3 linked regions of the Ovis aries genome follow. The protein of the gene in region 2 interacts with the protein of the main gene of each other region in a biochemical or structural test. Links are inferred from orthologs where the notes say so. Each region holds a gene or a part of one and is shown on either strand. Other genes may lie near its edges.

What was found.
Region 1: the proteins of FGF9 (region 2) and FGFR1 interact in a biophysical measurement, tested with the Homo sapiens proteins (2 studies listed by BioGRID and IntAct, with this or other methods). The link is inferred for Ovis aries from reciprocal best matches to the Homo sapiens genes FGF9 and FGFR1.
Region 3: the proteins of FGF9 (region 2) and FGFR3 form a complex in vitro, tested with the Homo sapiens proteins (3 studies listed by BioGRID and IntAct, with this or other methods). The link is inferred for Ovis aries from reciprocal best matches to the Homo sapiens genes FGF9 and FGFR3.

The regions. Positions count from the first base shown.
Region 1 is NC_056079.1:32,638,932-32,642,571, forward strand, and holds part of FGFR1 (fibroblast growth factor receptor 1), read right to left. Parts: intron 3,640-3,640; coding exon 3,502-3,639; intron 3,340-3,501; coding exon 3,234-3,339; intron 3,102-3,233; coding exon 2,925-3,101; 3' UTR 1-2,924. UniProt on the Homo sapiens protein: Tyrosine-protein kinase that acts as a cell-surface receptor for fibroblast growth factors and plays an essential role in the regulation of embryonic development, cell proliferation, differentiation and migration.
Region 2 is NC_056063.1:35,651,310-35,655,620, forward strand, and holds the start of FGF9 (fibroblast growth factor 9), read right to left. Parts: upstream 2,893-4,311; 5' UTR 2,501-2,892; coding exon 2,224-2,500; intron 1-2,223.
Region 3 is NC_056059.1:117,455,736-117,459,375, forward strand, and holds part of FGFR3 (fibroblast growth factor receptor 3), read right to left. Parts: intron 3,192-3,640; coding exon 3,019-3,191; intron 2,895-3,018; coding exon 2,771-2,894; intron 2,690-2,770; coding exon 2,499-2,689; intron 1,892-2,498; coding exon 1,741-1,891; intron 1,067-1,740; coding exon of another isoform or gene 922-1,066; intron 455-921; coding exon 264-454; intron 1-263.

The sequences.
Region 1 (3,640 bases), on a different chromosome or scaffold from region 2:
AGGACAGACATCTGGGAGGCAGTGTAGCGTAAATGGCCCTAAATACTGTTAAGTGCCAACCTAGAGAGAACTTGCCCCAGTGCTTGGGTCCCTGCCCACCTGCCTCCCAACAGCTGAGTGGAAGCCTGTCTCCTTGCCCTGCTCTCTACTCTTCCCCACAAATGCATCTTCTGTGGCTGCACCAGCTGCTAATAATCTCACCGAGTATAATTTTAGGCATTTTCTAAAGCCCAACCCCGGTGGTGATGTCAGACTTGGCCCATCTCACACCCTGAGAATTCTGCTTCAACAGAAAGGTGTTGGTGGCTTGGCACGTATGGACCTGCACCTGTGCTGTGACTAATTCTGTGTTTCAGTCATTACAGGTCGCAACGGTGATATCGAATAAATGCTCTATAGTGTTAAAACCTAAAGATCTCCTTGTCACCACCAGTGCACACCAGTAGGTAGGGTCAGACTAACGGAACTTTAACGCTGATCGACACCTTCCTTTTGCCCAGGGTTCTGGCCCGCTGGCTCCCCCCAGTGGCGGCTGTGAGAAACACAGCGACTTCACTGTCATGGAGATAAATTTCCTTCAGCCATGATTCAATCTTACTTACCTGAGATCAATATAGTACATTAGCGGTGCCGGGGGACTGGTGACCCCTGGCCTGTGGCAATTAGAAAGGGTGGGAAGGTGGTATCGACCGATGCTCCGGCCCTCATCTTTTAACCCTCAGGAAACCAGACAGACTCAGTGCCTTGACAGGATGACATCTTCATTAGATAAACTGGATCTCTTTCCTCAAGAGACCCAATCTGGTCAGCTAAGTAAAATGGCCATTTCATTTTCTCTCAGGTCAATTTCACTATCTTTGATTTGACAGCTCAGTCTCTCGGGAAATTCATGGGTGATTAGAGTAGTAATAGCAAGGACATCACTGTTACAGCAACAGTGAGCTGTGTCCCACTGCCTCTACTGAAGGCACGCAAAGCCCTTTGTGAAAGAGTGACCATCCATTCACACGACCCTGGGCCCAAACTATCATCAGTATTTTACAAGGAAAGGTGCCACTACAAGCTGTCCCACAAATGGTTTTAAAAGCTAAAGTTCATTTCCTGATTCTGTTCTTCACTAGTATATGCCCTCCTTAAACGTGAACACATATCAGAGTATGTTGATAGTTGCATATTCACAGAGCTACTCAGCAGAAAACAGAACTTTATAATGAGCCAACACTAGAAGGGGCCAAGAAACAGCTCAGAAAGGAAACTTCAGGAGCAACCCCATTCTTCCCAAACGAAACTGGACTTGCTTTTATACTTAGAAGGGATCCGGCAAAGGGCAAGCTTTGGGGGCAGAGGCTGTGAACCAACAGCCTGAGCCCTAAGGTTCCAAGGAGCCGGCACCTACTTGGTGGGGGGAGAGATAACCAGCAGGTGGCAGAGGAAGAAAATTCCCCAGCAGCCAAAATGCACCTTCACAGAATGTCTTCCTTTTCCTTAGGGCTGGGGTAGAGTTCCTGTGGGAAGAACTGGAGGAGGCCAAGTGCTAGCCCTAGCACACGCGGTCTGATCACTCGAATTCAGAATGGTATTGGCGGGGGTGGGGGTAGGTAGGCAGAATAGCCTGGGAGACAAGAAACCTGAAGCCAGGGCCCTGGGTGTAAAGCTGGTCTTAGGTAACAGGTCCTCCCTGACACAGAAGCACAGGCAGAACCATACCCACACAGAGGAGCAGCCACTCTCCTAGGTCTGAGTACCTGCCGCCCAGGGTCAAACCATCCATGACCTGCCTCTTCATCACTTCAGCCCCACTCCTGGCTCTTCGGAGCTGGGCCCTCAGCTCCCTGTCTGACTCTCAGACCCCAGAGGCTCCACATTCCCCCCAGGGAAACGTATGGTGGAGGGGGCGGTGGGGCCTGGCCCTGGGCCCAGTGACCCCTACCTGCCTTCTTTCCCAAGGCCCGGCAGAGGAAGGAGGGCTGTCCTGAGGCCTCGGAGAAGGACCCATGGGGAAGAGACCTTGGGACAGCCAGCCCCAGAGCCCGGCAGCCTCGCTCCTTCACAGTCGGCCTCCTCTCCCGTGTCACACAGCCCGTATAAAATTGAAGCAGCAGCAATTTTTATTGAGGGACCTAAACTGAAAATAGGTTTAGAACATAATTTAAAAAAATAAAACAGCAAAAGTAGCAAAAAATATATGACCTTTTTAAAAACATTTTCTTTTTTTTTTTTTTTTTTAATATATAGCAACTGATGCCTCCCAACCACCAGGAGCATCTTACCCAATGGGTAAATCTCTGGTAACGACCCTTTTAAAAAGACATGTAAATATATACTCAGATTTATACACTTTGTGTTTTCTTCGTAGCTATGTACAGAGCCCCTGCTTTGGGGCTGGGCCCCAGGGCCACGCCGCCGGCTCCCGGCCTCTGCGTCCCCACCCTCGGGTACCAGGTATTTGGTCATAAAAGCAAATTAGTATCGGAATCAATAAGCCACTGGCACTATCCGTCTGGAACAGAGGTCGCCTTCTGCGGAGGCCCGAGCGCTGACCACCTCTACACGCAACTCCCGCTGTAGCCCGAGGACCTGCCACCAAAACACGGGCACATGGGCTGTGCAGAGCAGGCAAAACCAATGCAGGAGAGCTAAGTCGGCTCTCGCTCGAGGGCGGCTCGGCCCCCACTGCCCGACCCTCCAGGCGGCAGTGGGGGGGTCTTGGTCCAACGTTTGGCAGGCCACGTAGTAGCCGTCAGCAAGGACCGGCCTCCCTGCTCCTCTGTCAGGCTGTGAGGAGGAGAGGAGGGGAGCTCGGGCGTGCGGGCCTCAGGGAGGCCGGCCAGCAGAGCGCAGGGGAGGCAGCGAGTCCAGCGGGAGGAGGGGCGGGGCCACAGTTGAGGATGGAGTCCGGGGAGGGGTGCGGGGTATGGGGCCAGTCAGCGCCGTTTGAGTCCGCCGTTGGCCAGCTGGGCCTGGTGTCGGGGCAGGCAGGGTTCCTCGGGCAAGGGCTCGTGAGAGAAGACGGAATCCTCCCCGGAGGAGCAGGTGGAGCTTCGGGTGTCGGGGAAGCTGGGGGAATATTGGTCCAGGGGCATTGACAGGTCCAGGTACTCCTGAGGGCGGAGACAAAAAGATGCAAGACCCGCACTCTGCTTCCCGCGGCGGTAGGATTCATTCCGCGAGAACTAGAATCCCGCGAGAATTCGGGCCGGTCGGCACACAGGATCTGGGAAGGGCCGCCTCACCTGGTTGGAGGTCAAGGCCACGATGCGGTCCAGGTCTTCCACCAGCTGCTTGAAGGTGGGTCTCTGAGAGGGGACTGCGTGCCAGCAGTCTCTCATCATCATGTAGCTGGGGCAGGATGGCGAGGTCGGGGTGGGGGGAGAGGACAGGCTCAGGGTGGATGGGCCGCGGGCGGCTGGCTGCGCGCCTCCTACTCCTCCCTCTACGCCCCGAGCCCAGCCCACCCCCAGGGCCCAGCCCAGGACCCCAGGCATCTTTTCTCAGGCTTACAGCTCGTTGGTGCAGTTACTGGGCTTGTCCATACGATGACCCTCCTTCAGCAGCTTGAAAAGCTCCTCCACGGGGACCCCAGGGTATGGGGAGCCGCCCAGAGTGAAGATTTCCCAGAGGAGCACCCCAAAAGACCACC
Region 2 (4,311 bases):
GGTGACTGCGTTTAAAAAACAAACAAAAAAAAAAGCGCACGGAGAGGAGGAGAAGCCCCAAGCGGAGCCTCCCGGTCTCCCCGGGCGGGCTCGGCTGCTCCGCACCGGAGGTCGCCGGCCGCAAGCGGGAGCCCACGGCGGGCTCCCCAGGCGGAGAGGGACGGCGGGTCCGCAACAATGGCACGCGGCCCCCTGCCTATGCCGCCCTTTGTCCCCTCTCTCTACCCCGCGGCCCCGGCCCTGCCGGCCGGCCCGACCCACCTCCGGCGCCGCGAGCCCACCGCTCCGGGACCCGGCTGTGCGCTCCGAAGGACGGAGAGGGGTCCGAGACGGGACTGGACTCCGGGGCCTCGGCCCCGCCGCGCGCGCCTCCGGCGGCTCCCGCCCCACGCGCGGCCACGCTGCTCCCGGCGGCGGCCCGATCCGCTGGACCTGCGTTCTCACGCCGCGAGCGCGAAGTGACGCGGCCCCGGGCTCAAGGAGCCCGATCCCTAAATGCGGCCGGAGTGCGCCCGGGCCCGGCGCCCCGGACTCGGCGGTCCCAGCAGCCCAGGACGCGCGGGGCGGGGGCGAGCCGCCGAACCCGAGCGCGTCTAGGACCGCGCGGAGCAGGCCGGCGGCAGCCGAGTGCGCGCGGGGCCCGGGCAGCCGAGTGGCACCTGCCGGCCGGCGCGCGGGGGCCCGGGCTGGGCGCGACGTCCACGCACCCGGCCGCCCGCCCTGGTCCGGAGCGCGGCGCGAGCGCTGGCGGCCTGGGGGCGGCCGAGGTGAGCGCTTGTGCGAAGTTTCGTCCTCGTTCCGCAGCGGCCGGAGCCGCCTCCACTTCTCGAGCTTCCTCTGGGTAACTGGAGACTGCAAAACGGACGGGGCCGCGGGAGCTGGGCGGGGGGGGACCCTGAGCCGTCTCCCTGGTGGGTCCCTCCGGGCCGAGGCTCGGAGAGGGAGGACAGAGGCAGGAAACCCCGGGGCCGGCCCATCTCAGGCCCGGGCCGGCCTCACGTCGGCCATCGTCTGCAGCCCACGAGCTACACGGACAGTTGAGACCGTGCTCAGCATCTGGCGTGAAGCTTGACGAACAGAAAGCACCACAGGACTTTGCTTTTACGACCTAGTTTAAGTTGTCAGAGGGGTTCGCTCAATAAGTTAACTCCTTCCAACAGTCCGGTTGCCCAAACACCGCCACCTCCCCCACCCCACCCCCAGCTTTATTTTGTAAGTATGGGGGGAAAAAAAACCAGGAGAAGCCCCTCCACCCACCACCCCCGGGGCGCTGCCGTCGGGCCCGGCGGCTCAGCGGGCACGTGTGTGCAGTCATTAGAGCGGACGGTCTCCAGCCTCCGGGGTCTGCAGCCCTCGTGCTGAGTCACAGACACCCTCCTCCGGAGATGAAGCCCTAGGAATGCCCTTTAAAATTAGCTCGCCGCTTTTGCATGCGCGCACACATGCACACCCGCACACCAGAGGCACCCAGGAATCCTACACAGGGCTGCGCGTGGTGGGAACTAGACAGCACAGGGCATAAGTCGATGGCTGGAAGGACAAACGACCCTAGACAGGGCCCTGCCCCTGCCCGAGTCCGTCCCCCAACCCCCCTGCGCCCTGCCCCTGCAGCCCCGGAGTCTGAAATACGACTTGAGTCTCTCCTCCCACGGAACAATCTGCAACCTTCGCCTAAAGCGCCCCAGTCCCACTCGGTGGGAATCAGCAATACGCTTCATTTACAATTTAAGCAGGACACTTTTTGGAGGAATAAAGGGAAGGGGCAAAAACTTCATTTGGCACGAGATGGTAAGCATTGCCTTGAGCAAAATGCATTTTAAGTTCTCCGTAGTTAATGATTAAAGCTTGAAACTCGTGGAATCACTCCATTCAAAAGAAACTTCCTAAACCCGATCTTGCCGGCCTATATGATGCAAAAGAACTAGGGGTATGTGTTATATTTATAAATCATGCCCTCCTTTAAAAAAAAAAAAGCCTTCCAGTGTAGACCCGCATCAGTGCCAGCGGCAGGTCTGCAATTCCGGAGGCTTTTTTCTCCCCTGGAGTTAATGAGACCGAATCAGTCCGAGACCAAGGGAGGCAGACCCCTTCCCGCAGACCCCTTCCCGCAGACCCCTTCCCGCAGACCCCTTCCCTCATCCCCCGCCCGCGCCCGGCCGCCTTCTGGGTAGCTGCGGTCCGAGCCTGCCAGCTCGGGCCCTCAAGGGTTAACGGTGCACCTACCGAACCGGCTGTGGTCCTTCCTGGTTCCCTGGATAGTACCGTTGGGGAAGATTTCTAAGTGAAATCCAGTCCTGCAGTACAGCTGCCTCCGCCTGAGAATCCCCTTTAAGTGATCCAAGTCCGTGACCGCGGGTCCCCTGGGAAGCCCCCCTGCTTCGGACTGACCCAGGTGGTCACTTAGCAAGACCGGGCTGTCCACCGGCAACACCGGCCCGTTCCCGAACGGCACCGCATCCTGCACGCCGAAATAGTTCCCAACTTCACCCAGGGGAGCCATCGGCAGAGTCGGCAGGCGTTCCGAGCACAGCGATAAACAATGATGATGGTGCCAACCCAGGAGGTACTCGGCGAGGTAAATCCAACTCCCGTCCCTCACTGCAGTTGCAGAGAGAAGAAAAGAAAAAGAAAAAAGGTCCTTTTCTTCAATCCATGAAATGCATCAATAAAAGTAACCTGCCGTTTCGCTGGCTCAGGTTCAAGGTCAAACCGCGGATAGTCTAAGCAAGCACCACTTTATACTCGCACACTGACATATTGATAAACGTATCTATGTATCTCTACACACAGATCCCCAGCTCTCGGCAGGCACGCAGGTCTTCATCTCATCCGACCGTAGGGAGGGAAAAAAATCCGGAGTTTCTCCATTAGGCTTGCGACCAGAATGACCATAGCAACTTAAATGCCTAGGCGTTATTATAGGGGTTTTTAAGATGCACGGGCTACGTCAGAATTTACGGATCCTGACTCCAGGAAGGCATGCGCTGTTTTTACTCTAACCGACTCTGCAGACATCAGCAGGAATCCTTCAAGGGAGGAAAAAAAAAAATCTCACGTTGGTGGCGGCGACGAATCTGCAGCCCCGTCCCCTCCTCCAAAAATGAGAAGGATGATAATAAAACAAAAAGAAGGGAAAACTTTAGGCGTCCAAGGCTGGTGTCCAGAGTCCTCCGGGGGCTCGGCTGGCGTCCATCGGCCGGGCGCGGGCGGCGGGCGGCGGCGGCGGCGGCGGGAGCGAGGGGCGCCGCGGCAGGACCCGCGTGCCGCCGGCGGCCGCGAACAGGTGTCGCCGGGGCGCGGGGCGAGGTGGCCGGAGCGCTCCTCCTGCGCAGCCCCGCGGCGCGCAGAGTGGCGCAGGCGGCGGCATTGGGCCGGGTTTAAGGTAGCGCCGCGCCGCCCGCGCTCCCCGCGGTCCTAGCGCCCGCCTCGCCCTCCGCGTTGCGGCAGGCCCCGCGCCGCGCGCCGGAGCGCGGGGACCAGGGGACGCCCCGAGCCTCCGGTCGCACAAAGGAGGCGCGAGACCGCGGGCCCCTGGGCCTCTGCGGCCGCGTCGCTCACGCGGAGTCGCAGCCACGAAGCTAACCCCTCGTTCGCTGCGGCGGCGGAGGTGCAGACTGAATCGGGAGAACTAGTTTTCCCACTTGGGGCTCGGGGGCTGCTTTGAGTTAAATAAAACTTAGCTAAGAGTTGGAGTGAAGGGGGCTGATTTAATGAGCTTGAACGGACCCCACAGTTGCGCTCTCATCTCTCCTGCAGACAGGAGCAAGCGGCGCGGCAGGTGGGACCGGTGAGGCGGGGGCGGGGGAATGTGCGCCCAGCCCCCTCCCACGCGCGCACACCGGCCGCAGTGGCCGCTCCTGGCCGGGTTCGGGGCTCTCCCGGCGTCTCACAAGCCGGCGCTGCGTTTAGGTCCCGCCCCGCGGCGCGGCGGGCTTGGGTGAGGGGGCGCCCGAGCACCGCCTCGCTCCGCGAGCTCGCCTGCGTCTGCGGAGAGTCCGGGTGCAGGAGCGCGCGCCGGGGGCTCCCCCTACCCTGGAACCCTGGACCGCGCTCCGAGGGGCGAGCTGGACCCGCCCTCGGGGGATGAGAAAGCCGAGGGCCCCGGGTCCCTCGCGGCCCCGAAGCCGCCGCCGAGCTGAGGGAGCCCGGTGCGGGGAGCGCCCAAGGGTCGCGGACGCTGCTTCCTGCTCTAAACCCGCGGGACGCACGTGGAAGTCGGAGCCCCGAGCCCGGGGCTCGGTTCTGCTCGCGGCCGGCGTCCCTCGCGCCCAACCCCGGGCTTGGGACAAAGAAATCCGGCGCCCGAGCTGC
Region 3 (3,640 bases), on a different chromosome or scaffold from region 2:
GCAGCTAGGGCCCGGAGTGCGGCTCCCGTGGACCACATGCCCAAGAGGGACCTGACTTCTGCCCCTGTAGTGCTAAATGGAGGTTTTTAACATATTTTGCCCCGGAGTAACCCAGCTCTACGGGGTGACTGTGCAAACCGGGGAGGGCTCAGCCCACACCCTGATGTCCTCAGACTTTGCAGACAGGACACACTCAGGGGTCAGGGCAGCGGGCCGGGCAAGGGCACGGGCGGGCTCGGAACCTGGTATCTACTTTCTGTTACCTGTCGCTTGAGCGGGAAGCGGGAGACCTTGTGCACCGCGGGCGAGCCCAGGCCCTTCTTGGGGGGGCTCCGCAGGCGGTAGAGCGTAACGGCGGCCACAGCCAGGATGAAGAGGAGGAAGCCCAGCCCGTAGCTGAGGACGCCCGCGAACACACTGCCAGCCTCACCAGCTTCCACCAGCTCCTCCTCGGCTGCAAAGACACAGGTGTCAGCGGCCTAGCCCAGCGTCGCGGGAGCCCGCGCACTGCCCCAAGCCGGAGCCACGGGCACGGTGGGGGGCCCAGGACCGGGTACAGACCCCGCCCCCGGTGGGGTTGGGGGGAGTGCCAAGGCCTCGTTGAGTCTTCAGCAGCCAGAAGTGCGCAGGCCACAAGAAGCGTAGACAGACCCAGGAAAGAAGAGAGCCCAGCAGAGCCAGCAGCACCCTCACCCGCCACCCGGGAGGCGCCAGCACCATCCCATCAGCTGCCAGGGACCCCGCTGGCCCGGGGCACTATCGGGGGGAGGCCTGTCTGGCCCGAGACAGGGCCGAGCGGACTTTGCCTGCAGGCCGGGTGCGGAACCTGGCTGGAGGGCTCTGCAGTCCCCTGGCCTCCCCAGCGGCACTGGCGCATCCCGAGCCCCAAGAGGACAGAGCGAGAGCGGCAGAAGCCGATACCTGGCAGCACCACCAGCCACGCAGAGTGATGGGAAAACCCGATAGAATTGCCCGCCAGACACGTGTACTCCCCCGCGTCCTCAAAGGTGACATTGCGCAAGGACAGAACCTCTAGCTCCTTGTCGGTGGTGTTAGCGCCCGCCGTCTACAAAGAGAGAACACAGCGCGATAGCAGAGCACCAAGAGCAGCCCACGGGCACCGCAGCCAGAGTCCACTCGGCGCCGCTCCGGCCAGGCTGCAAGGAAAACGCCGCCGCCACCACCGCGACCGCCGCCACCGCGGCCCAGTGGCCTCTGCCCCGCGCGTCCACACTGAGCCCGAAGCCAGTCCCTCCACCGGCGAGTCCTCTGTCCCAGGTGAGCCAGACGTGTTGGCTGTCAGCGCAGCAGGCAGGGTGAGCGTGCACCGGGGGAAAGGGGCAGGCGGGGGAGCCAGGGGGGCAGGGAGGGAGGCAACAAGGCCAGGCAAAAGTGAGCAGCTGTGGGAGCCGGGGCCAGAGAGGAGGGGACAGAGAGATGGACAGACAGAGAGAGACGGCGCGAGTGCTAGAGCAGCTGAAGGCGGGCGCTCAGGCTCGGCCCCAGGGCAAGGGCATCGGGGGGCACACACAAGGTGCGGGTGGGTCAGCGCAGGCCGTGGGGGATCAGAGCAGGCAGTCACAACGGAGGCCGGGGGGTCAAGGTGCAGAGGCGGCCACGCCAGGGGCAGTGTGAGCCAGGGTCGTGGGGCGGGAGTGGCGGGGCGTGCGGGTGGGCACAGGGCCAGGGCATCAGAGCTGGAGCTCGGCGTGCCAGGCAGGCGTGGGACAGAGCTGTTACCTGCTGGGGGCCCGTGAACACGCAGCCAAAAGGCCTTCTCAGCCACGCCTATGAAATTGGAGGCTCGACAGAGGTACTCGCCCCCGTCACGCTCGGACACATTGGCCAGGCGGAGGCGCGCGTCGGCCTCCGCACTCTCACTGATCCACGACTGCGGGGACAAGAGACCCGGCTCAGGCGCAGGGGCCCCGCCGGACACACGGGCGTGACTGCCAAGGAGCTGGCCCTCGCCCAACCCCGAGGAACGGGTGGGCAGACCAGGCGGCACCAGCCAGGAGGGCTGCCTGGAGGAGGCATGGAGACACCTCACGGCGGCCGCTGTGCTCACACTGGACACAGCTGCCCATCATGCACCCCCGCCGCCCGCTAACCCTCAGAGAGATCCTCCTCAGGGCGCTCAGGCCACCCACCTCTGGGGTCCCCGCCCCAACGCTGCCAGGCCTGAGAGCTCCGGGTACTGCCCCGCCCCAAGTCTGTACTCCCGATCCCGCCCCTCAGCCCCATCGTGTGCCTTAACAGATGTTTCTCTTTGGGCAGCAAATGTCGCAATCGCCCCAGCTCGGGTGGCCCCCAACCCTGGGGCCGTGGGAACACATTCCTGCCCTGAGGGCCCAGGGAGGCGCCAGGGCTGGCAGAGCCCCGCTCCGGGTCTGCAGGCCAACGCGGACAGACCCCGCCCCCAGACCGACCCCGCTGCGTCTCCCCCAAGGCCCAGCCCGAAAGGCCTCCCCGCGCGGCCGGCCGGCGGTGGCGCCCACCTTGAGCACGGTGACGTAGGGCGTGCCGTCGGGCCCCACCTTGCTGCCGTTCACCTCCACGTGCTTGAGCCACTGGATGTGGGGCTGGGCATCGCTGTACACCTTGCAGTGGAACTCCACGTCGCTGCCCAGCACGGCGGTCTGGTTGGCGGGCAGCCCCGCCTGGAGGATGGGCCGGTGCGGAGAGCGCTCTGCGGGGCGGGGAGGGCTTCAGAGGCTGCTGGTCTGAGCGCCGCCCGGCCCCGCCCCGGCCCCCGCGCCCCGGGCCTCACCCAGCACGTCCAGGGTGTAGGTCTGCTGGATTCTGCCAAACTTGTTCTCCACGACGCACGTGTAGTTGCCGCGGTCCGAGGGCACCACGCTCTCCATGACCAGGCTCCACTGCTGGTGCCGCAGCTGCGGGTGGACTCGGGTGAGTGGACGGTGGGTTAGCTGGTCTGAGCGCCGCCTGGCCCCGCCCCGCACCCCCACCCGCCGCGGGCCCACCTTGATTCCTCCCCCACCTTGATTCCTCCCCCACCTTGATCCCTCCGATGCGGTGCTCGCCCCGGAACTCCTTGCCGTTCTTCAGCCAGGTGATGGATGGCGTGGGGTTGCCGGCAGCCGGGCAGCGGAAGCGAACCGTGTTGGCGGCCGGCACCGCTAGCAGCTTCTTGTCCATCCGCTCGGGCCGCGTCCAGTAAGGGGCCCCTGCTGTCCGGGGAGGGAGGGAAGGCTGTGACAGGCTGGGGTGGGTAGGGGCTTGCCTGTGCCTCTCCAGCCCGCTTCCCGCCTGCGGAGGGGATGTCAGCCTTTTGAAGACCCCCTCCCAGGGCTGGACGAGCTTCCAGTAGCCTGAATGCCACCTCCGGGCACGCCCAAAGCCAGGTCCCCTCACCCTCCTCAAACACCAGCTCCAGTCGGGGGGTCCAGGGCGCCGCACTGTGACCCAGGACGCAGAGACGTCTCAGGATCACCACCCACCCAGGCGGGCCCATCAGGGGCGGGCTGCCAACTGGCACAGGGACCAGGGCACACCGGGTGAGGATGCCCAGCTCGATGGATGGGCACCGCCCCTAGCCACCCAGAGAACCCAGAGCCTTGAGGCCGGCCAGGAGCCCGCGGGCTTCTGCCAGACCCCAGGCCACACTCTGCCCCATGGG